Mytilus edulis: one gene and its partner. The protein of the gene in region 2 purifies or fractionates together with the protein of the main gene of each other region. This does not show direct contact. Links are inferred from orthologs where the notes say so. Each region holds a gene or a part of one and is shown on either strand. Other genes may lie near its edges.

Region 1 (10,697 bases), on a different chromosome or scaffold from region 2:
TCAAGCTTGATATAGCTCTGAATTTGGATTGTGATCAAATTCTTGACATTATGAGTTTCTGACACTAAACAAATGTCAAGATCTTACAAATCTATTATGCAATATTGTGTAATTAAAAGTTTCAACTTCAAACTTTTAACCAGATGCTCCGCAGGGCGTAGCTTTATACGACCGCAGAGGTTGAACCCTGAACGGTTAGGGCAAGTATGGACACAACATTCAAGCTGGATTCAGCTCTAAATTTGGATTGTGATTAAATAGTTGACACAGCATAGGTTTCTGACATAGAATGAATGTGTTCTAATGAACTTAAAATTTTTGTTTCTCTTAGAGCAATTCACTATGCTGTTGAATATTAATCCTCTCAAAAAAATGTTTGAAGAAATTTTCTTTTTTATTTATGAAATTTCAAATGAGAAAAATTGAACCCAATTTTTTTAATCACATCCCCCTTTCCCTTATTCCAAAACTAATCTCAATTAAAATTTCTAATGGAGTTTGCAACAATAACTACTCATTTAAATACATCATAAAATATTAAGATGTAAAAAAACTGCTTGTTATCACTGAATGGTAAAGATTATTTTAATTTATCAGTTGGTAGTAAAAAGTGAATATACATTGTATATTGTATATAACAAAGATTTAAGTTGATTCTGGACAAAGAAAGATAACTCCAATTAAAAATAAATCTTGCTATTGCACAATATTTTGCAATTAGATATTTCTTGCTTACTATTCTGGACAAAGAAAGATAACTCTAATTAATTTTTTTTTTGATATTTCACAATATTGTGCAATTAGATATTTCTTGCCATTGCGCAATACTGTGCAATTGAAAAGACTTGCTATTGCACAATACTTAATATAATAATTTTAGATCCTGATTTGGACCAACTTGAAAACTGGGCCCATAATAAAAAATCTAAGTACATTTTTGAATTCAGCATATCAAAGAACTTCAAGATTTCAATTTTTGTTAAAATCAGACAAAGTTTAATTTTGAACCCTTTGGACTTTAGTGTAGACCAATTTGAAAACAGGACCAAAAATGAAGAATCTACATACACAGTTAGATTTGGTATATCAAAGAACCCCATTTATTCAATTTTTGATGAAATCAAACAAAGTTTAATTTTGGACCCCGATTTGGACCAACTTGAAAACTGGGCCAATAATCAAGAATCTAAGTACATTTTTAGATTCAGCATATCAAAGAACCTAACTGATTCATTTTTTGTCAAAATCAAACTAAGTTTAATTTTGGACCCTTTGGACCTTAATGTAGACCAATTTGAAAACGGGACCAAAAGTTATGAATCTACATACACAGTCATGACAGTTAGATTCAGCATATCAAAGAACCCCAATTATTCAATTTTGATGAAATCAAACAAAAGTTTAATTTTGGACCCTTTGGGCCCCTTATTATGTTGGGACCAAAACTCCCAAAATCAAACCCAACCTTTCTTTTATGGTCATAAATCTTGTGTTTAAATTTCATAGATTTCTATTTACTTATACTAACGTTATGGTGCGAAAACCAAGAAAAATGCTTATTTGGGTCCCTTTTTGGCCCCTAATTCCTAAACTGTTGGGACCTAAACTCCCAAAATCAATACCAACCTTCCTTTTGTAGTCATTAACATTGTGTTTAAATTTCATTGATTTCTATTTACTTAAACTAATGTTATTGTGCGAAAACCAAGAATAATGCTTATTTGGGCCCTTTTTTGGCCCCTAATTCCTAAACTGTTGAGACCAAAACTCCCAAAATCAATACCAACCTTCCTTTTGTGGTCATAAACCTTGTGTCAAAATTTCATAGATTTCTATTAACTTAAACTAAAGTTATAGTGCGAAAACCAAGAAAATGCTTATTTGGGCCCTTTTTGGCCCCTAATTCCTAAAATGTTGGGACCAAAACTCCCAAAATCAATACCAACCTTCCTTTTGTGGTCATAAACCTTGTGTTAAAATTTCATAGATTTCCATTCACTTTTACTAAAGTTAGAGTGCGAAAACTAAAAGTATTCGGACGCCGGACGACGACGACGACGCCAACGTATTAGCAATATACGACGAAAATTTTTTCAAAATTTGCGGTCGTATAAAAAATTTGGAATTTGAGAAAAAAAATTGAAAACTACTACCATCCCCTTTTTTTTTAAATAGGTCCAAAACCTGACATTTCTTTATACATTGTTTACAAGTAGTGTAAGGGAGGTAAATCTGCACAAACCAAAAATTGTATGTTATCTGTTTATGATTTACCTCCATTACACTGCTTTTGAATTGTCTTAATTGTTCATTGACCAGAAAAACCTAGTTTCCCCCTTTTTTGGCCCCCAATTCCAAAACATTTTAAGAACCCCCCAAAGTCATTACTAACCATCAATTGTATGGAAACTTGTGGTAAAATTTCAGAGAGATTCATCCACTTAAACACAAGTTATTGTTTGAAAACTACAAAAATGCTTATTTTGGACCCCCTTTTTGGCCCCTAAATCCTAAACAATAAGGACCATAACCCCCAAAATCAATCCAAACCTTCCTTTAATTAGTGGTATTGAACCTTCTGGTAGAAATTAATAGAGATCCATTCAGTAAATCTAAAGTTGGTCTGGAAAATCTAGTTTATCCCATTTTTTGGGCCCCTAATTTCGCCTTTTTTAGCCCCTAATTCCAAAACATTTAGAGTCATAAGCCCCCAAAGTCATTAATTACCATCCTTTCATGGTATGGAAACCTGTGGAATTATTTCAGAGAGATTCATACACTTAAACACAAGTTATTGTTTTAAAACTACAAAAATGCTTATTTTGGGCCCCCTTTTTGGCCCCTTCTTCCTTAACTATTGGGACCATAACCCCCAAAATCAATCCCAACTTTCCTGTAGTGGTATTAAACCTTTTTATAGATATCCATACTCTTTATTTGTCAAAACATTTTACTTTAGTTTTAAAAATCACATTTTCCTTATACCGGATGTTGACCTGACTGGTAAAACATGGACTAGAAACAGATACGTAAAATCTGTGTACGTTTACAAAGCACGACTGAGTGAAGAAGCTCTTTCCGCATCATTTCTTCAACAAAATACTTGAAATGAACGTTAGATACAGATATCAATGATTATTGAAGCATTTTTGTAGAAATGTAGGATGCATAATTAAATTTCCCACCTGTACACATGCGCACACGTGTTCTAGTTCATACAACAGAGTGCCTAGAGAAAACCTCAGACTTTAAATAGAAAAACTGACAATACTAGTCAATTAAGATTGAAGTTGTGTGCACCCCCAGGAGCAGGGTATGAATTTACAACCTCAGTGTTGACTGGCTAGTGATTACAGTAGTAAGAACTACTTAGACCACTTGGCCGCTGAGGCCCCTAATTTAACATGGAAACCAGATCTAAACTTTATACTTTTACTTACAGGCAGAGCATCTCCAATGTCATCCAGTTCAAATGCTTTCTTTTTCTTTTTCTTCTTTTTCATCCCAAGGCTAAATTCTAATGACATATCTGAAAATATTCAAACAAATTCATTCTTCTACATCAAATTGCTGAATCTGTGTGAAACCATAATATAATCTGTGTGAAACCATAATATAATCTGTGTGAAACCATAATATAATCTGTCAAATAAACACTTTCTTTTCAATGTATTAAAAAAAAAGTTACAAATGTGCCAGCGTGAAGCATTTTAGAGAATTCATATACATACATGTACAAGGTGATGTCATTGTGTACCAGGGACATACACAGGCAACATTGTGCTTATTTGTTTATAGTGTGGCTATTATAACTAAGTTGAAAAATTTGAATTCATTATTGGAAAGTCAAATTATAGATTAACAAATGAGCTGTTTTGGATAGAAATTGTCCTTGTGCAAATGAATACAATGATCATGAGTCATCTCATTAAACTTTCACTCCTCACGATTCTCTGCGAAAGATGTCCTAAGACTCATAGTTTTTGAGAAAGAAGTCATACTCTAGGATTTAATTTCTGCAGAGTAGTGAAAAACCTAATTATTGTTCAGATAAAATATCAATATCAATGTAGCTTTGAGTGTTCATCTGTAAGTCTTCACTTATATGTCCTGTTTTATTCATCTGATCATATAAGCATGTCGAATATCAATGATATTTATTGGCTCATGCAGGATCTTCATACCCTTCTTGAGCACCTCAGATCACCCATGTAGTCAAGTTATGAACTCATCGTTTCTATTCACATACATTGTACACCATGTACACTTCACATATACATGTATTTCCAAATTATTTCCCATTATGTATTACCATCGTCTACTTTCTCCCTTTGATTTTCAGATTTGTTTTCCTTTGGTTCCTCTTGGATTTCAGTTGTTTCTGGGGTTGGTGCCCCATCTGTTGCTCCTTCTGGATCACCCATAGCTGCATCTAAATCAAATGGTACCTTCTTCTTCTTCTTTTTCTTTTTCATCATATTAGGATCAAAGGGGGTCTGTAAAGGTAAATTATATTAATTTATATAAACAAAGACAATTATTACACTCATATGTACGAAAGAAATGTACAAATGTATGACAATATTGGCTGACAATCCAGATACATACATGTAGACATGTCAACCTATTTGTTTAAATAATGAACATTTTTTTCCTTCAGATTAGACCAAATCCTACTCATTTACCTAAAATATTCAAATGACTTGAAATTTAAAAATCTTCCACAAATTTTTTTTAAGTTATCAATGAATCAAACAGAACAGGAATGTAAACTTAGTTTACATGAAAAAGTTATTGATCAGATGTTGCATCATCTAATTCCTGTCTCATTTTATAAAGTATGGTATTTCATCACAAAAATACCATTAAATAACCTTATTTCGAAACTATAAAGAAATCAAAACCTATGTTGAGGATTTTCCCATACATTTGTATATATTTTTTAGTTTTGATGCCATATTTTGCCTTTACAAAATTTGTATTGACACTTTGATAAACTGATTTTTTTTCAAAATTAACACATTTTAGGAACTTACCTTTTCTCTTTCATAAACCATAATTTAATTTCTGAACATCTAGAATAATAATGATTTTTTTATCCTTTTTTACTGATCCAATTGCATCAAAATATTCCTGTATAGAAGAGGCTTAGAGCTATATGTATTATATTTTTCCTTTGCTATTTTAAAGATAAATGTTTCAATTTATATTGCAGTCTTTATTTTATACTAAAACACGTCTGATGCAATATCGATTTGTATAATGTATATTTATAGCCTAGCAGATAATAATACAGGGAATATTATCTCATTATTTTTTTCTGAAAAGTAATACTAATTAGGTAGGTTGTTTATTACAAAAAGTTTTATGAATATATATACTTTTATAAGATGATTCAAGAAGGGTTAAAATACAAAGTACCTCACTAAAAATAAAAATCTTATGATCTAGACCAATGTCACTAGTCACTTAACTAAACCCAATCTTGACATCACAGCACTAACATTGATGTTATCAACAGACTGTATATTTCCATTCTATCAGGCATTGATGAGTTCTTCTTGCTTATTTAATTTGCATTTTGTACATTCACCATGTTAAAGTAGTTATGAAGAGTTTATATAAAACAATTGATTTTGTTTTTCGAAGTGGTTTAATGGAAGATACAAGTGCTCCCTCCGCACAACCTTATTAAATTCCACAGACCAAAACGACAAATCAGAGCAACAACCTTTGAATAACTTTATCACTAAGTACATTGTAGACCAACAAGTCTGTAACAACAAACGAATGGTCATACATTTTTGTAGTTCAAAATAGTAAATCGGACATGTTCAAAAACTATTTTTGTGCACAGTCGCTATTGATTGGAACCATCTGGAAGACATGGTAGTGTGTGTCACTACAACTTGAAGCTTAAATCAGAATTCCCCAGCAAGCGCAACTATCACACAATAGCCGAAAGGAATCTGCGACATATGGTCATACCCATCTATTCTGTGACATGCTATTTACCATGTTAACAGCAGTGGGAAATACAAATACAAGTCTGTGCCAACTTTATACTAAGTTTAGATATATGTATGAAACTGAAAGTGCTGTAGCCTGTAGGTAGTCTCTTTGTTTGAATGGTAACAATATTGAGTGATACAAATTTTTGTCTAGAAGACACTACTGTCTTAACCATAACTGAATTAAATTATGTCAAAAGGAGAACTGTGGACAGTATTGGGTTCATTGGAAACATCACCATGGTAAAACATAATAACAATAAAGGTGATTGTGGTTCAGGTGAGAACACGATACGTCAACAGCACCGAACCAACCCAGATACGAGATAATTTCGTGAGATTCTGTTTTTATGCTAGCCAATCTTCAGCAATATTTAATGATTTGCATTAACAACCATGAATTGAAGAAAAAAATATATGCAAACGTGTGACTTTATCATAACTAATATGCTGATTTCGAATAATTTACTACACGTGTGATCGAGGATGGAAGTCGCCATATTTTTCTCATATTCCCGGCTCAAAAAAAGTCATTTTATCATTTATTTTTCAATCCTCTTACCAGCTCGTCGTCCTCCATTCTTGAAATTAAAGATCAACAATAAAGTTGATGATTTTATCACAGATAAATGAAATAGCAGCTCGAGTTTCCTTGATTTTTCAGTTTTTCATCGTTCAAATTATTGCATCAGTCTGATAATACTAGAGGTCAAGGACACTGAAAACTTCGTAAGGGAGATAATCCAGAAAAAAAACCAAGAGGCCCAGTGTCGTAACAAGTGCTTTGTCGGTATCAAAAATGATCCCCGGGTAATGATCATAAATCAATGTCACCTTTTTGTTAAGATAAGATCAATTTTATTAACAAATTTTGGGTCCCGAAGGTCATAAAGATTATAATAAAAAAAAAATCCATTAAATGACAGAATAAATATCAAAGACCATCAAATAACAGACAAAAATATACAATATATTCTTCTTCTTCTTCTTCCATATAAGAGTTGGGTTCCTTTAATGAAACGTTTAAACTCTGCGGGACTACGCATGGTGACATCACATATCTAGTCCCCTAAGGCTATATACAGTATTTACAATAAAATCAGGTTGTTACGGTTAAAATTATGTCAGTACAATCGTCCAGTCTGGTATTAATGTGTTGTCTGTAGCCCTGAGCGAAAATCTTCAACTGATCCCGCTTCAGCAACCCTGGCAGGTAATGTATTCCATTCCATGATTGTTCTTGGAAAGAAGGAGTTCCTGTAGACATCACTGGTGACCCTCTGTTGGTAAAACTTGTGTCCTCCACGAGTTCTACTGTCGCCACCTTTGAGGTAAGTACTCTTGTTGATGTCTATCAGCTCATTCTGGATACGATAGAGCATGCATAGCCTGTTGTCACGGCGTCTTGTCTGTAATGTGTCCCATTTAAGATCTTCTAACATTGTAGTGACGCACCCTGGTGTGCGTGATGTGTAGTCATTATAGACAAATCTAGCAGCTCTCCTCTGTATAAGTTCTAGTGTGTTGATGCTTGCTTGGTTGGTTGGGTCCCATATAGTAGAAGCATACTCTATGACAGGTCGCACGAGTGTTGTATAGCCAGCAGCCTTTACTTTCCTGGTACATTCTTTAAGGTTTCGTTTGACAAACCCAAGTGTTCGGTTACCCTTTGCTGTAACACTCTGGATATGTTTGTTCCATGAGAGGTTGTTTGATATTGAAACTCCCAAGTACTTGGCACTATCTACTGGTTCGAGTATGTGTCCATGTAGAGTGTATGGGTATTGTATAGGTTCTTTGTTCTTTGGTGGTATGCGGATAATATTGCATTTTGTTGGATTGAATCTCATCATCCATGTTTTTTCCCAATTTTCTAATGCTTCAAGGTCTTTCTGAAGTTGTTCTGTATCTTTGGTGTTACTAATTTCCCTGTATAGTAGACTGTCATCAGCAAAGAGGCGGACATCTGATTGAGTATATCCGGGCATGTCATTGATGTATGTTAGGAACAATAAAGGACCTAGTACTGTGCCTTGTGGCACACCTGACAGAACATCGTCTTGTTGAGATCTAGCACCTTCCAATACTACCTGTTGTTTCCTGTTTGATAGGAATGAACTGATCCAGGAGTTTGTCCGGCCCCTTACTCCATAAAATTGGAGTTTGTACAGCAGTCTTGAATGAGGAACCTTGTCAAATGCCTTTTCAAAATCCAGGAGTATGATGTCAATCTGGGTTCCATTTGAAAGGTATTTGGCTATACGATCGATGGTGATGATGAGCTGACTTTCACATGATCTGCGTTTCCTGAAACCATGTTGGTTGTCACAGAGTATATTTTGTTGATCAAAATGTTTCATTATGCTGCTGTGAACTATATGCTCTAACAGCTTACAAGTGATGGAGGTAAGGGAGACTGGACGATAGTTGGCCGCTAGGTGAGTATCCCCTTTCTTGTATAGTGGCACTATGTTGGCATCTCTCCAATCTTGTGGAACTTCTCCTGTATCAAGTGAAAACTGAAAGATTCTTGTCAGAATTGGTGATAATTCTGCAGCAGTTATTTGCAGTATTTTGGTTGGTATTTCATCTGGTCCTGCTGCTTTGTTGGTGTTAAGGTTTTTTAACAGTTTGAATACCCCATTTTCAGTTACTGTGATGTCATTCATTGTATTGATGTTACTAGGACCTTTATCGGGAATAGTGCTGCCATCTTCTTTTGTGAAAACCGAGCAAAACTGTTCATTTAAGATATTGGCTTTACTCTGGCTGTCGCTTTTAAGGAATCCTTCCTTGTTTTTGAGTGGTGCAACTCCAACCGAGTCCTGTCCTTTGCTCTTCAAGAATGACCAAAATCTTTTCGGTTTCTCAGTGTAACTGAGACTAATGATGTCATTCATATATTCTTTGTATGCTTTTCTTATTTCCATTTGTGTTTGTTGTTGGAGGTATTTATATCTATCTCTGTCTCTCCTTTTCTTTGTTTTCCTTGATTTCTTGTGGGCCTTGTTTTTCCTTCTTATTAGGCGCTTGATGGTGGTATTGATCCAAGGATGGGTAAATTTTGTAGTTGTCATCTTTGTTGGTACTTTCTGATCAATAATTTTCATGATGTTTTCTTTGAAATATTTCCACATGTTTTCAATATTAGTGAAGGTCGTCTGGTTAAAGGTTTCAGCAAATAACCTCACCTCATTTTGTATTTCATCTATGTTGGTTCTTTTCCATAGTTGTATTTTACGTTTAACCGGTTTAGGTTTTTGTGTTTTAATTGAGGTATCAAGAAGGACAATGTCGTGGTCGCTGTTACCAATAGCTGGAATTGGTTTACATCTCTGCTTAAAACTTGGATGGCTAGTCAAAATTAAATCTAGAGTTTTTTCTTTTCTTGTAGGGAAGTCTACTATTTGTTCAAGATTAATGTCTGCTACTATGTCCAAGAAGGTTTGGTTCACTTTGGATGGATATTGCTTACCATTTATGGCTAACTGTTCCCAATTGATGTCTGGAATGTTAAAGTCACCACCAATAATAAGGATGTTCTTTTTGGTGCTATTTTTAAGGCGGTTGAATTCATCTTGTGTATATTCTAGGTACTCGTTGTCTGTTCTATTTGGAGGTCTATAGTATGATGCCAATGTGATTTTCTTTGAGTTCGTTGTTATTACTCCACTGATCATTTCAATATTTTTACTTTTATATACATTATGTAATTGTAGATGTTTTTTGGCTGCTATGAGAACACCCCCATGTCGATCAGTTGGTCTATCTCTGCGTTGGATATTATAATCAAGGTCATTTGATAGTATTTCGCTTGATGATATGGTGTCGTCGAGCCAAGTTTCTGTTCCCAGTATGATATCGGGATCTGTATCTATTATGAGAAGCTCTAATAGCTTTCCTTTCTTCCTCAGACTTTGAAAATTAATATTCAAGATTCGTAAGCACTTTGTGTTGTTTGCTCTGTTAAAAGTTTTTGATTTGGGTTTAATAGGTGAAGATGTAGTGATCCCATATTGTATCAGAAGTCCATTTAATTTGTTAAAAATGTGTCTATATCTTCGCTTATCATTAACCACAGAAAGCTTTCTTTTGTATAAAGTGCACACTCAATTCTTATTAGACATCAACATTTCAATGGAAAATAATTGTTTATCGCTGTTCATAGATATAGGAAGATGTGGTGTGAGTGCCAATGAGACAACTCTCCATACAAATAACAATTTAAAAAGTAAACCATTATAGGTTAAAGTACGGCCTTCAACACGGAGCCTTGGCTCACACCGAACAACAAGCTATAAAGGGCCCCAAAATTACTAGTGTAAAACCATTCAAACGGTATATTATCATATGTGAGATTCAGTATATTTCAAATATACCTTCGACCCATATGGGTAAAAATGTGCATTTATATATTCAAGTATATAAAGTATATAATAAAATTGAGAATGGAAATGAAGAATGTGTCAAAGAGACAACAACGTACCCGACCATACAACACACAACAACAAAAGGTCACCAATAGGTCTTCAATACTGAGGAGTTCCCGTACCCGGAGGCGTCCTTCAGCTGGACCCTAAAAAAATATATATATACTAGTTCAGTGATAATGAATTTTTACGCCATACTAAACTCCAAATTATACACAAGAAACTAAAGTTAAAAATAATACAAGACTAAATTAAG
Region 2 (11,192 bases):
TTTTCTAATTTCATGTACCTCTGACCAATTATCGACTTAAAATAAGAAAAATACCGAGAAGATCAAATGTTTTTTTGTGGTTAAATCTTCGGAGCACTCAAAACATTATTTTTACGGTGGCTTATTAGTTTTTATTCACTTTTGTCAATAAGCTTTTCAAAAACAAACAAGACAAATCATATGTTTTTGCGTGTAGACGGGTAACATTCTTATATTGTTTTTGAGGGTTCCTCCAAATTTCGGATACCCATAAGTAAATAAAATATAAAAATTGTATACCATTTGGAAGAGGAACGTTATGGCTTTGTGATGTCATATTTGTATGACGTAATCGACACCATTTTCGAATCGAGTAGACCTTGGAAGAATCCATTTCAGCTTGTAGACACTAAAGGAAAAATATAAGCCCTTTGCGGCATAACAGATGAGAATCCATCGATAGCGAGATTGTTTGTCATTAAAGTCTTTATATCAATTATCATTATGTAAAACGAACTTGGAAAATGCTTTAAAAACATTGATTCCCAATTTAAAAGAACGAATTCAATTAGAACTTCGACATCATAATCAAAATCAAAGCCCCGAAAAACACTGTCACAACAACGTTTAAAAAAAACATGCTCTACTTGAAATTATCAATACAGAGTAAAAATATGTAAAGCATGGTATCTAGTCCGAAAATACTATATGTCCGTTAAACTGGAACATCTGAACTGCATCTATTCATATAGCAATCTCTTTTTTTAGCATTACATAAAATCTAATTATGTATATGAGTCCCCACAGGGCTCCCGTCACAAAACTTTTAACTAACGTTTAACGTTAGTAATTTCGATGTTTTTTAAAGAAAACGAAGAAAAAAAAGGGATTGTGCATTTCAGAACGGAGAAATGAAGCCAATATGATAAATTCCTAATAAAAAAGAAACGGTAGCATGCATTCGTTTAAATTTTTGTCAATTTATTTCGATTACTGATGCGTTGAAAGGGTGTCTACCAAAATGTCACAAAAATGGCATCTTCATTTTTTTCTAAAATACAAAAAAACAAGTTGTTACAAATCTTTAGAAATAAGTGAAAACTGTATAATTAATAAGAAAATTTAAGCGATAATCGGAAATTCTCAAACCGAAGGAACATTTCAATATAAATAGGATAAAGATTAAATATGTACAAATTATCAAAATACATTGGTCACATGGTGGTCTACCAAAATGTCACAGCGTCGCTTATTTGACGTTTTTGACGTTCACCGTGTTGTTTTTTTTTGCGTTATGGCGGTTTTTGAAGCGTATTTATTTTGTTATAAAAACATCTAAAACTTAATTCAGAATATACTTTTTCTTTCAAATGTTTTTTCTTTCGTGTCATTTTTTGTGAAGCTAATGAATCAGAAACCCAACAACAACAAAATTCTACATGTATATACAAAATTAATAGCTTCAGTGGAGAACATAATTATCGCCTCAAGTACAACTAGCATATCATACATAATGGATATTCGTATTACTTAAAGTATTGAAATACATATATGTATACGAATACGGACACACTGACACATATCGATATGTAAACAATCAAATACGGAGATATGTTATACGTACAGCTAATTGGATGTTAATATTTCCAAACATAGGTTGAAATTTTTCCGTTTTATGAGTAATATTTTAAAAGTATATATGTATCAAATAAAAATCATCGATACTGTATGTTGCCTTACATAGATATTGATGAAGAAAGTTTTGACATTAAATCAACATGTTGGATATTCAGGTTGGCATGTCAAATATTCAACTCAACATGTCTGATATTTTCAAGTTGACTTGTTAGATAATTATACTGACTTGTCAGATGTTAGGTCGACGTGTTAGATATTGAAGTCGATATAGTAGATAATTGTGTCACCATACCAAACAATGTGACTTAAATACAACAAAAACCGCAACCCAAGCTCTTTAACGCCATATACTTAAGAGTAGAACAAAAACATACTACTAGAAATAATCTGTATATTGTCAAAATATATAAATAAGGAGATGTGGTGTGGTTGCCAATGAGACATTTATCCACTAGTAAGACTTAAGTTCTAATGACGAATACAAATGCAATTATAGGTCATTGCATTTGTACCCAAGTAGAATCTGTAGCCGAATTTTGATATAAACAAATAATTAGGAACTATTTTAAAAGTTGTAATAGAAAGGTCCACAGTATGCCACTGGTGGACTTTTGAAAAATCAAGCAGATATTGCCGTTATACGCGGGCAATTTCGGATACGTCCGGCTGTAGAATTGTTAACGATTAACAACACCACTGTCATATGCGTGCAATCGAAGAATTTTTAAATATGTAGAAGAAATTCCTAGAAATAGAAAATCGTTTAAACCAATAAAGGGGATACGGACCATACATCGAGTAGAAACAAAAAATCTACAAACGGTACTAGTTCGAACCGTGTCATGCTATTGTGGCGGGTGCCTTGAGCATGACCATTGTTTGTTTACTGATCTAGTTGGCATTTCGTTGGAAGTCAAAGTAGAGCGAGAGCTAGGATTCCAATTCAGGGGAGGAGACATTAGAAGATGACAGATATGAGACATTCGTTAATATGATAAATACCGGTCAATTTTTTGCAATTTATGTGATGATGAGGAAAATTGTCTCTTCCTCCTTAAAGCTACATCGGGGAGTCATAATTATGTTAACAGGAGAAGAAACTAATGAGTGGGGGTCGACATTTTCTGATGGAACATCTGTAATTAATGGACATTATTTCATAAAGAAAAACACATCACGTTTTACAGTACAGTCTTTTTTAAAATCAAAAGACAATTGTCTCAAGCGCTTCCGTGTTGTATGTATGTCAAGACAATGTTTTGAAAAGAAATAAGCTCATTTTTGGTTGCACTTTGTAAATATAGCTGTTTCTCAAACCACGCCTCTTTTGGGGAGATCTTGAATATTCATAGAAAATTAATTTTGTTTACATACTGGTTCCCAGTTATGCTCTCTGTGTTCCATCTCACAGAGACATAACTTGGGAATGTTACCAGTAAATATACACATGCATTGATTTTCATTTGAAATTTTTATTGTGTCACGGCTTAATAATGTGTCACGACACAGGATGAGAGCACTATAGAACTTTCTCAATATTGTATCAATATTGTCCGAAGCAATAATATCTATTACATTGAAGAATTTTTTTATTATTTTTTTATTTCTCCAATTGATATTAAAAGAAGTGATTTAGAAATGTATGACGCGTTACTTATCTTTTCTCTCGCGTTTGATAGCTCTTGCATTAAACAATGAGTATTTTGTTTGTGATATTTAGAGAAATGCAAAATTTAAAGAATTACAAATTAAAGAGCAGACAGCAGCCGAAGGCCACCAATTCAGCGAGAATATCCTGCACCCGGAGGCGCGCCTTTTATAACCATCCAATTCCCCAAAAAATCAAACTTGACAATCAAATATTGTTATCGTAGAATTTTGACAGACTTTAAAATCTTACAATCATTGAAAATACGCAAAAGTTAATTTGTTAAAGGTTGATATAAAAAGATTATACTCCCTACAGCCATATTTAAAGTTTAAAACAAAAAGAACAAGTATAAAAAAAATCTAAAAATTGGAAGGGTTTCTCCTCTTCAGTGCGATTTTCATAATAAAAAAAATCTTGTTTTTTCGACCGGTAAATATTATTTTAAAACAAATTGTGCATGAATGCATACGCGTGGACTTGAATGTAGCGTAAATCCCACAATTTCTGTTTTCACAAAACACCATACGTATTCCTTATATATATTTCCATTTGTCTAGAGGTCCCCTGGCATACACCCGTATCTCCTTTTATTAACAGAAAACCAAGCGTTAAACTTGTGGTTAAGTTGTTAAATATAATGGACGTCAATATTACAAAACGTCAATCATATAACATGATTTTGACGTTACGACGTTACCAAAAGTGACACCAACATCGAGCGTAACGTCCATGTATTGCTATACCGTTATTGATACATACTGTCGGTCTTCATATTTTGGCACCACACAAGGTCGTGTTTTCAGACTATTAAGACATCCGAGATTGATTGATTTCATATGTTTAACACTATCTCAGCACTTCTGGCTATATCATGGCGGCCACGTTGTATTGGTGGAAGAAATCGGAGGGAACCACCTGAACTAGCAACCATAGGCAATTGAAAAACATGGAGTCGAGGGCACCCACCATGTGCAGGGTTCGAACTAAATGCAAGAATGATGATTTTTTTTCTCATAAACTAGTACATGGCTAAAGTAAAAAACAATAAAGTACGTAAATTGTGAATTAATTCATTGCTGTTCAGGAAATTTTGACACTAAATCTTTCGGATGTATACTGAATGATATTTTGTTTTTGGTACATGATGGTTTATTAGCTGCTGTTGTGTTTAATCGATGATTAGGTATACAAGATACTTAAAATGCAACATGCTTGTGTACTGTCGGTCATTTGATGCAAAAAAAAAATCAAAATAATAATTCCAAAATTCCATGAACACACACACTCTCACAAAAAAATTTCATTGCATGTGACCCCTCAGGTAATCCGTAGTTCGATTAGGAAATATTTTCATTGATAGCATTTTGTTGTGAAATAATGTTTTGACAAGTTTCATGGAGATTTTTTTGTTTTAAAATATTTCATTGAATGGTGGCTTATTTCATGTTACAGATGTAATTTTTAATTTTTCCAGTCAAATATTGATGGATTTCCAGGAAGAAAAATCTAGAAAATCAGCAGAAATGGCATACAATGTATTTGTTAAATTTATACGCTGGAACTATATATGTCATCAGAGACATTTAATACATTATCATTGCATAATACATGTGAAACGGCATAATGTGTCTTACTCAATGTTCAACAAATGTTATGAAACTTATGTAAAATGCTATTTACCACAAAACATTGTTTTGTGGTAAATAGCATTTTACATAAGTTTCTTACATAGATCAATTTTGAATTTGGAGTGCGTCCCTTTTAGTGTTCCAGAGTTGTGCCCCTTTGCAAATGAAAAAAAAAAAAGCTGAAATTTAAGTTACCGTTCTCTTACCTGATTTATGTTAATGTTATGAAACCTTTAAACCGTTCCTGCTCTTTACCACAAAACTCAGATCAAGTCAAATTTGGGTAGTGTCACTATTACAGTTCTTGAGTTATGTCCCTTTGAAACTGCGTTAATTATATACAAGCAGGGCCCTGGGCATCATCTGTGTCCCATGAACACATTCCCCATCTATTTAAAATGATATTGTATTCACATAGAAGTTATTTCAAAGTTAAGATGTTGAAAGAAAATCGTTTTAATAATGTGACGTTGCATATGCATAAAATGTATTTATAGAATGTTAATATTTTATACACGAAGCACTCATAGTGACGCAACGTCAGATATTGCTACCATTTTTAAATTTTTAAAGTGTAATAGAAAAATAACGTTGATTAGAAACGCGCACTATCAAGTCAGTGGCGGATCCAGAAATTTTCATAAGTTGGGGCCCGCTGACTGACCTAAGAGGGGGCCCGCTCCAGTCACGCTTCAATGATTCACTATATAAGCAATCAATTTGTTTTTCACAAAAAGGGGGGCCGGGCCCTGGCCCCCCCTAAATCCGCCTCTGCAAGTGTTTCCTGCTTTCCTTGTTGGGTAAATGCAAAGTATAGCATACAAGTAGAAATACCGAGATATTCCATTCCAATATTACTTTATAATTTACATAGGATATTACATTGTACTTCTAGTAATAATGTGTTTTTCGGGGAATATCGCTGCATTATATAAACAACCCGAATATGATTTTATTTAAGCAGTGGAACAAGAGACAATTAAATGGCTTATAGTTATGACACTGAAGTTTTTAAAACTTTTTGATCGTCTTATAGATGTGTATTTTTGTAATATGTGCATCATTTCGTTTTGTTGAAAGTAGGACATTTACATTAAGTGGAGGGAGGAACCTGCGAATGCAATACATGCCGTCCCATATTACGCTTGTGGCGACGTCAAATAATGTTAACGGACAACCTTGCAAGATATTTTCATTAATCCTTAATTTTTATAGGTAACCCTGTAATCTTAATACAATTTGGTGTAACAATTTCAACTTTTAAAGTACTTTTTATAGGTATAGTAATCAAAGCCGAAAAATAATCTTCATGAAATAAAATCTCTGTTTTTTTTTTGCAGTAAAAGTTTTCAGAATATTTATGCTAATTCTATATTGAGACGGCCATGTAAACCAGTACTGAAATATATCACGTCATAGAACATTCATGCAAAATTTCAAAGAGTTGCGTGAACATTTCGCGAATTGTTCGAGATTAATGTTTCAAGTTTGTTACATGGGACAACGCCAAGTGAACGTTTTTTTCTGATAATCTGTGTCTTCCGAAGCCTATGAATATTATATTTTTATTCTTTCTCTATCATAATGTGAAAATTTAAGAAGCAATCTTTATTTTCATATATAATTTCAAATATTCATTTCAGCATTTCTAAGAAAATTTTCTTATCAAATATTTACTTAGCGCTATTTTTCGTGGTAGAAGCAATATCTAACGTTGCGTCAGTACATTGGTCAATATATAGATTTGTTACTTGCAATGTCTAGCTAAATAAAATCTATGAACGGTCGGCACTGCCTTAAAGTAGTGTCTCCACCATGACAGTCTTGAACATTAAAAACTCAATATTAAATAATATACTGCTATTTTCAGTGTTTGGTGAAGGTTGGCTGTCACTGTGCAAAACAGTTTAACATACATAGAACCCTATGGGGGAAAACCAGAGAACTCTCTTTTTTGTCAGAAAAAGATCTGTCAAACAGCCGTACATACTATCCACACTAATCTGTATCCACACTTATTTAATGAGCAAAAACTTATTTTCCGGGTTTCCGTGCTTATTCCGTCATTTGACTAAATTTAGAAGCACCACCAATCGGAACACCTCTGTTATTTACATTAGGAACATGATGCAATAACAACAAACTAAAATGTGTTTAAAGAATTCAACTATCTTGCATCATTTTATGGTGTATAAGTTATTTATTTGTTGAGAATTTCTGCAGTACAGAACACTTTATAAATTTCTTTTCTTAATAGTATACTGAAATTATTTTGTATTTAATCCAAAACAGTCATGAAAGTTGATGAAGTTTTACAGTGTAGTTTTCCCTCTTGGTATAATAAATTTAAGGATATAACAATAAAGAGGTAAATATAAATTGTGGGAATATGAACACATGCTTTTGAACACTTAATAAAAGTACAAGATTGATATTTCAAGATACAGATTATGTATTTTAGGTACCCAGATATACATGCACAACTGATCATCTGATCTGATCATCAGTTAGTCCGAGCTTGTCTGGCAGAAAGTCACAGGACATAAAGTCACAAATTTGATAGGACAAAAAGTCACAAATATTTTTTTGACAATTGTTCAAATATATTTTGAAATATTTTCTTTTAATTACATATAATCATTTTTAAATAATAAGAAAATAGCTCATAAACCTTGATAAATGAAAATTTATTAAATTTTAATCATGCAAAGGATATTTTTATTGGCAAAATGAAGCGATTTAGGTACCAAGTCACTTTGACATTTTGTTTTCATAACAATTACTTGATCGTTTTTTATATTTATTGAGAAGATTTTTATTACAAAGTTGCTTGAAACATAAAACTTCAAGAAAAATACAAAAAAAATATTTTCAAAATAAATGTTTTCTTGTTCAAACAAAAATAATCTCAAAACTGAATTGTGACTTTTTGTCCTGTGACTTTTTGATCGTGACTTTTTGTCCTGTGACTTTCTGTCCTACATTCTAGCAAAACAGCCATTGGACGTCAGAGTAATCTTGGACTAATCATCAGTCTGATCTATATTTGGAAATCTGTGCAGGTTGACCTAAGAATCTACATCGGCTGAACTATTTACGTCATACAACAATCACTTTTCAGTTGTGGTGTCAGTTGTTTTCTTTTGTGACAACATAGAATAGAATATTTTTATTTCCCAAATTACAGGGCCAATAAAGGGCATAAAATCAGATACAACTGATTTACATAATTGGTAAAAACAACAATAATAGCGGCATATACATATATATTTAGAGTATAAGCATTGGTCAGAATCAGAGCCAAAAACAACATATATATATTGTGAATAAAAGAATAAAATTACATTACATGCATTTATTTCAAATTATTTACTTGACTAAGTGTCAGTGTTCAGAATCCGGGTCTGTTCGCGCCTAATCACATTCGCTACCATTAACGTTCGCGCCCTTTCACTTTCGCACCCTACACGTTCGCACCCAAACTCCATTCACACCCCACACGTTCGCGCACAATTTTCATTGGTATTATTTATATAATTTGGAATCGAGTTTTGGTAAGTGTATTGCTATATATATATATAAATTTTTTTTTCTCCATTTTCTCTACATATATATACATGTAGTTAGATTCTGACTGTTATATGTCAGTTTGGTATGGTCAAGTCGTTTGGTAAAGTTAACATACTTTTATGAGAGTTATCTCTCCTTAACCAGTCATTGGTGTATTGATATGCGGATTGCATTCCGTATTTGTATTATATGTTAGTTTATCTTGTTCTCTTGATTTATTGTTACCATACCATGTGGATATGTTTTTGAAGAATAGAACATTATTAACTTGAACTTTAGTTTAATTACTTATGCCAGAGTAAAGCATAAAATGACAACGTTTTTTAATGTGTTGAATAAATCTTAATGATGTTTAGGCAAGTGTACTGCTCTATATAAATATATTTTTTTCATTGTTTCTAAATAAAGTGAGATCTTAATCATGTTTAGGCAAGTGTACTGCTCTATATATAAATATATTTTTTTCATAGTTTCTAAATCAAGTGAGATTCTGACGTTTTTTTATGTGTTGATAAAATCTATATCAGGTTTTGGTAAGTGAATTGCTATAAATAATTTTTTACATGAGTTCAAAGCAGCCAAGCTGTTAAAAACAATTATCTTTCAAGTTTTTGATTTAAAATCTTCAAAGTTTTACTCATACCAAGCTAAATACATGCAGTATTTACATCAAAGCAATTTGCAAGTTAAAACAACAATCATGATTTTTAAACACTCAACAATAACACCAAATGTAGCTGTGTATAATTTACCAATTAGCAGTAATCATACATAATTAACATTTAATAATTAATCATCAAATTAATAAACAAAATCTACATTATAATTCCTCAAAACCTGTAGGGAGCGAACAGACTTCAGGGGCGAACATGTGAGGCGCGAAAGTGTAGGGTGCAAAAGTGTATTGGGCGCGAAAGGACCTGATACCAAGTGTTCATACCTGATCTCCTTAATTCAAAACAGTCACAAATATAACAGCCCAGTTTTTCCATAAGAGTTTCATTTTCTTGCTTCAAGAGCCATAAAAATTTAGAAGATTTATTTAAATTTATAAAATTATAACAATTCATTATTGTTAGAAATGCCTTGAAAAAAATCTTCCTTTTGAATATCATAAAGAGGGCATGCTAATAAAAAATGAAGCATATCTTCAACTTTACCAAATGAGCAATTAGACAAAGACGCTCAGTTCTTTTTATTTATTTTTTTAATATCTGTTTATCTCAATTTTTAAAGAGTGAGCGCTTATTCTTAATTTACAAATTGACTGTCTTTTTTTGAAATCCTGTAGTTCACATTTTCAGGGGAACCTTTGTGATGTCCATATAGCGATATGGTGTATTAAACTCACAAATTCAAAAAGAACCTGAGAATTGATAAACATTAGAATTACCTAGGGAATATTGGCCACATGTATTTGGGGAAAAAAAGAAATTGAAAATCTCATAAAATCAATCATATGATGAGTTTAAATGTGCATAGTTCCTTGTGTAACCTCTCTGTACAGTGCTATTGTGATATACTTTTTAGCTCACCTGTCCCGAAGGGACAAGTGAGCTTATGCCATCACTTGGCGTCCGTGGTCGTCCGTCGTCTGTCGTCGTAAACTATTTCAAGAATCTTCTCCTCTCTGAAACTACTGGGCCAAATACTTCCAAACTTTAACTGAATGTTCCTTAGGGTATCTTATTTATAAATTGTATCCGAAGTTTTGATCTATCAACAAACATGGTCGCCATTGCTAAAAATAGAACATAGGGGTCAAATGCAGTTTTTGGCTTATAACTCAAAAACCAAAGCATTTAGAGCAAATCTGACATGGGGTAATATTGTTTATCAGGTCAAGATCTATCTGCCCTGAAATTTTCAGATAATCAGACAACCCGTTGTTGGGTTGCTGCCCCTGAATTGGTAATTTTAAGGAAATTTTGCTGTTTTTGGTTATTATCTTGAATATTATTATAGATAGAGATAAACTGTAAATAGCAATAATGTTCAGCAAAGTAAGATTTACAAATAAGTCAACATGACGGAAATGGTCAGTTGACCCCTTTAGGAGTTATTGCCCTTTATAGTCAATTTTTAACCATTTTTCGTAAATCTTAGTAATCTTTTACAAAAATCTTCACCTCTGAAACTACTGGGCCAAATACTTCCAAACTTTAACTGAATGTTCCTTAGGGTATCTAGTTTGTAAATTGTATCAGAAGTTGTGATCTATCAACAAACATGGTCGCCATTGCTAAAAATAGAACATAGGGGTCAAATGCAGTTTTTGGCTTATAACTCAAAAACCAAAGCATTTAGAGCAAATCTGACATGGATAATATTGTTTATCAGGTCAAGATCTATCTGCCCTGTAATTTTCAGATGAATCAGACAACCCGTTGTTGGGTTACTGCCCCTGAATTGGTAATTTTAAAGAAATTTTGCTGTTTTTGGTTATTATCTTGAATATTATTATAGATAGAGATAAACTGTAAACAGCAATAATGTTCAGCAAAGTAAGATTTACAAATAAGTCAACATGACGAAAATGGTCAGTTGACCCCTTTAGGAGTTATAGCCCTTTATAGTCAATTTTTAACCATTTTTCGTAAATCTTAGTAATCTTTTACAAAAATCTTCTCCTCTGAAACTACTGGGCCAAATACTTCCAAACTTTAACTGAATGTTCCTTAGGGTATCTAGTTTGTAAATTGTATCTGAAGTTATGATCTATCAAC

The links.
Region 1: the proteins of translation initiation factor eIF2 assembly protein-like (region 2) and eukaryotic translation initiation factor 2 subunit 2-like purify together in Homo sapiens (affinity purification with mass spectrometry; 4 studies listed by BioGRID and IntAct, counting the BioPlex papers as one, with this or other methods). This does not show direct contact. The link is inferred for Mytilus edulis from reciprocal best matches to the Homo sapiens genes CDC123 and EIF2S2.

The regions. Positions count from the first base shown.
Region 1 is NC_092348.1:20,409,732-20,420,428, forward strand, and holds the start of eukaryotic translation initiation factor 2 subunit 2-like, read right to left. Parts: upstream 5,206-10,697; 5' UTR 5,058-5,205; coding exon 5,037-5,057; intron 4,497-5,036; coding exon 4,313-4,496; intron 3,530-4,312; coding exon 3,441-3,529; intron 1-3,440.
Region 2 is NC_092344.1:98,224,947-98,236,138, forward strand, and holds the start of translation initiation factor eIF2 assembly protein-like, read left to right. Parts: upstream 1-6,982; 5' UTR 6,983-7,190; coding exon 7,191-7,264; intron 7,265-11,192. UniProt on the Homo sapiens protein: ATP-dependent protein-folding chaperone for the eIF2 complex. Binds to the gamma subunit of the eIF2 complex which allows the subunit to assemble with the alpha and beta subunits.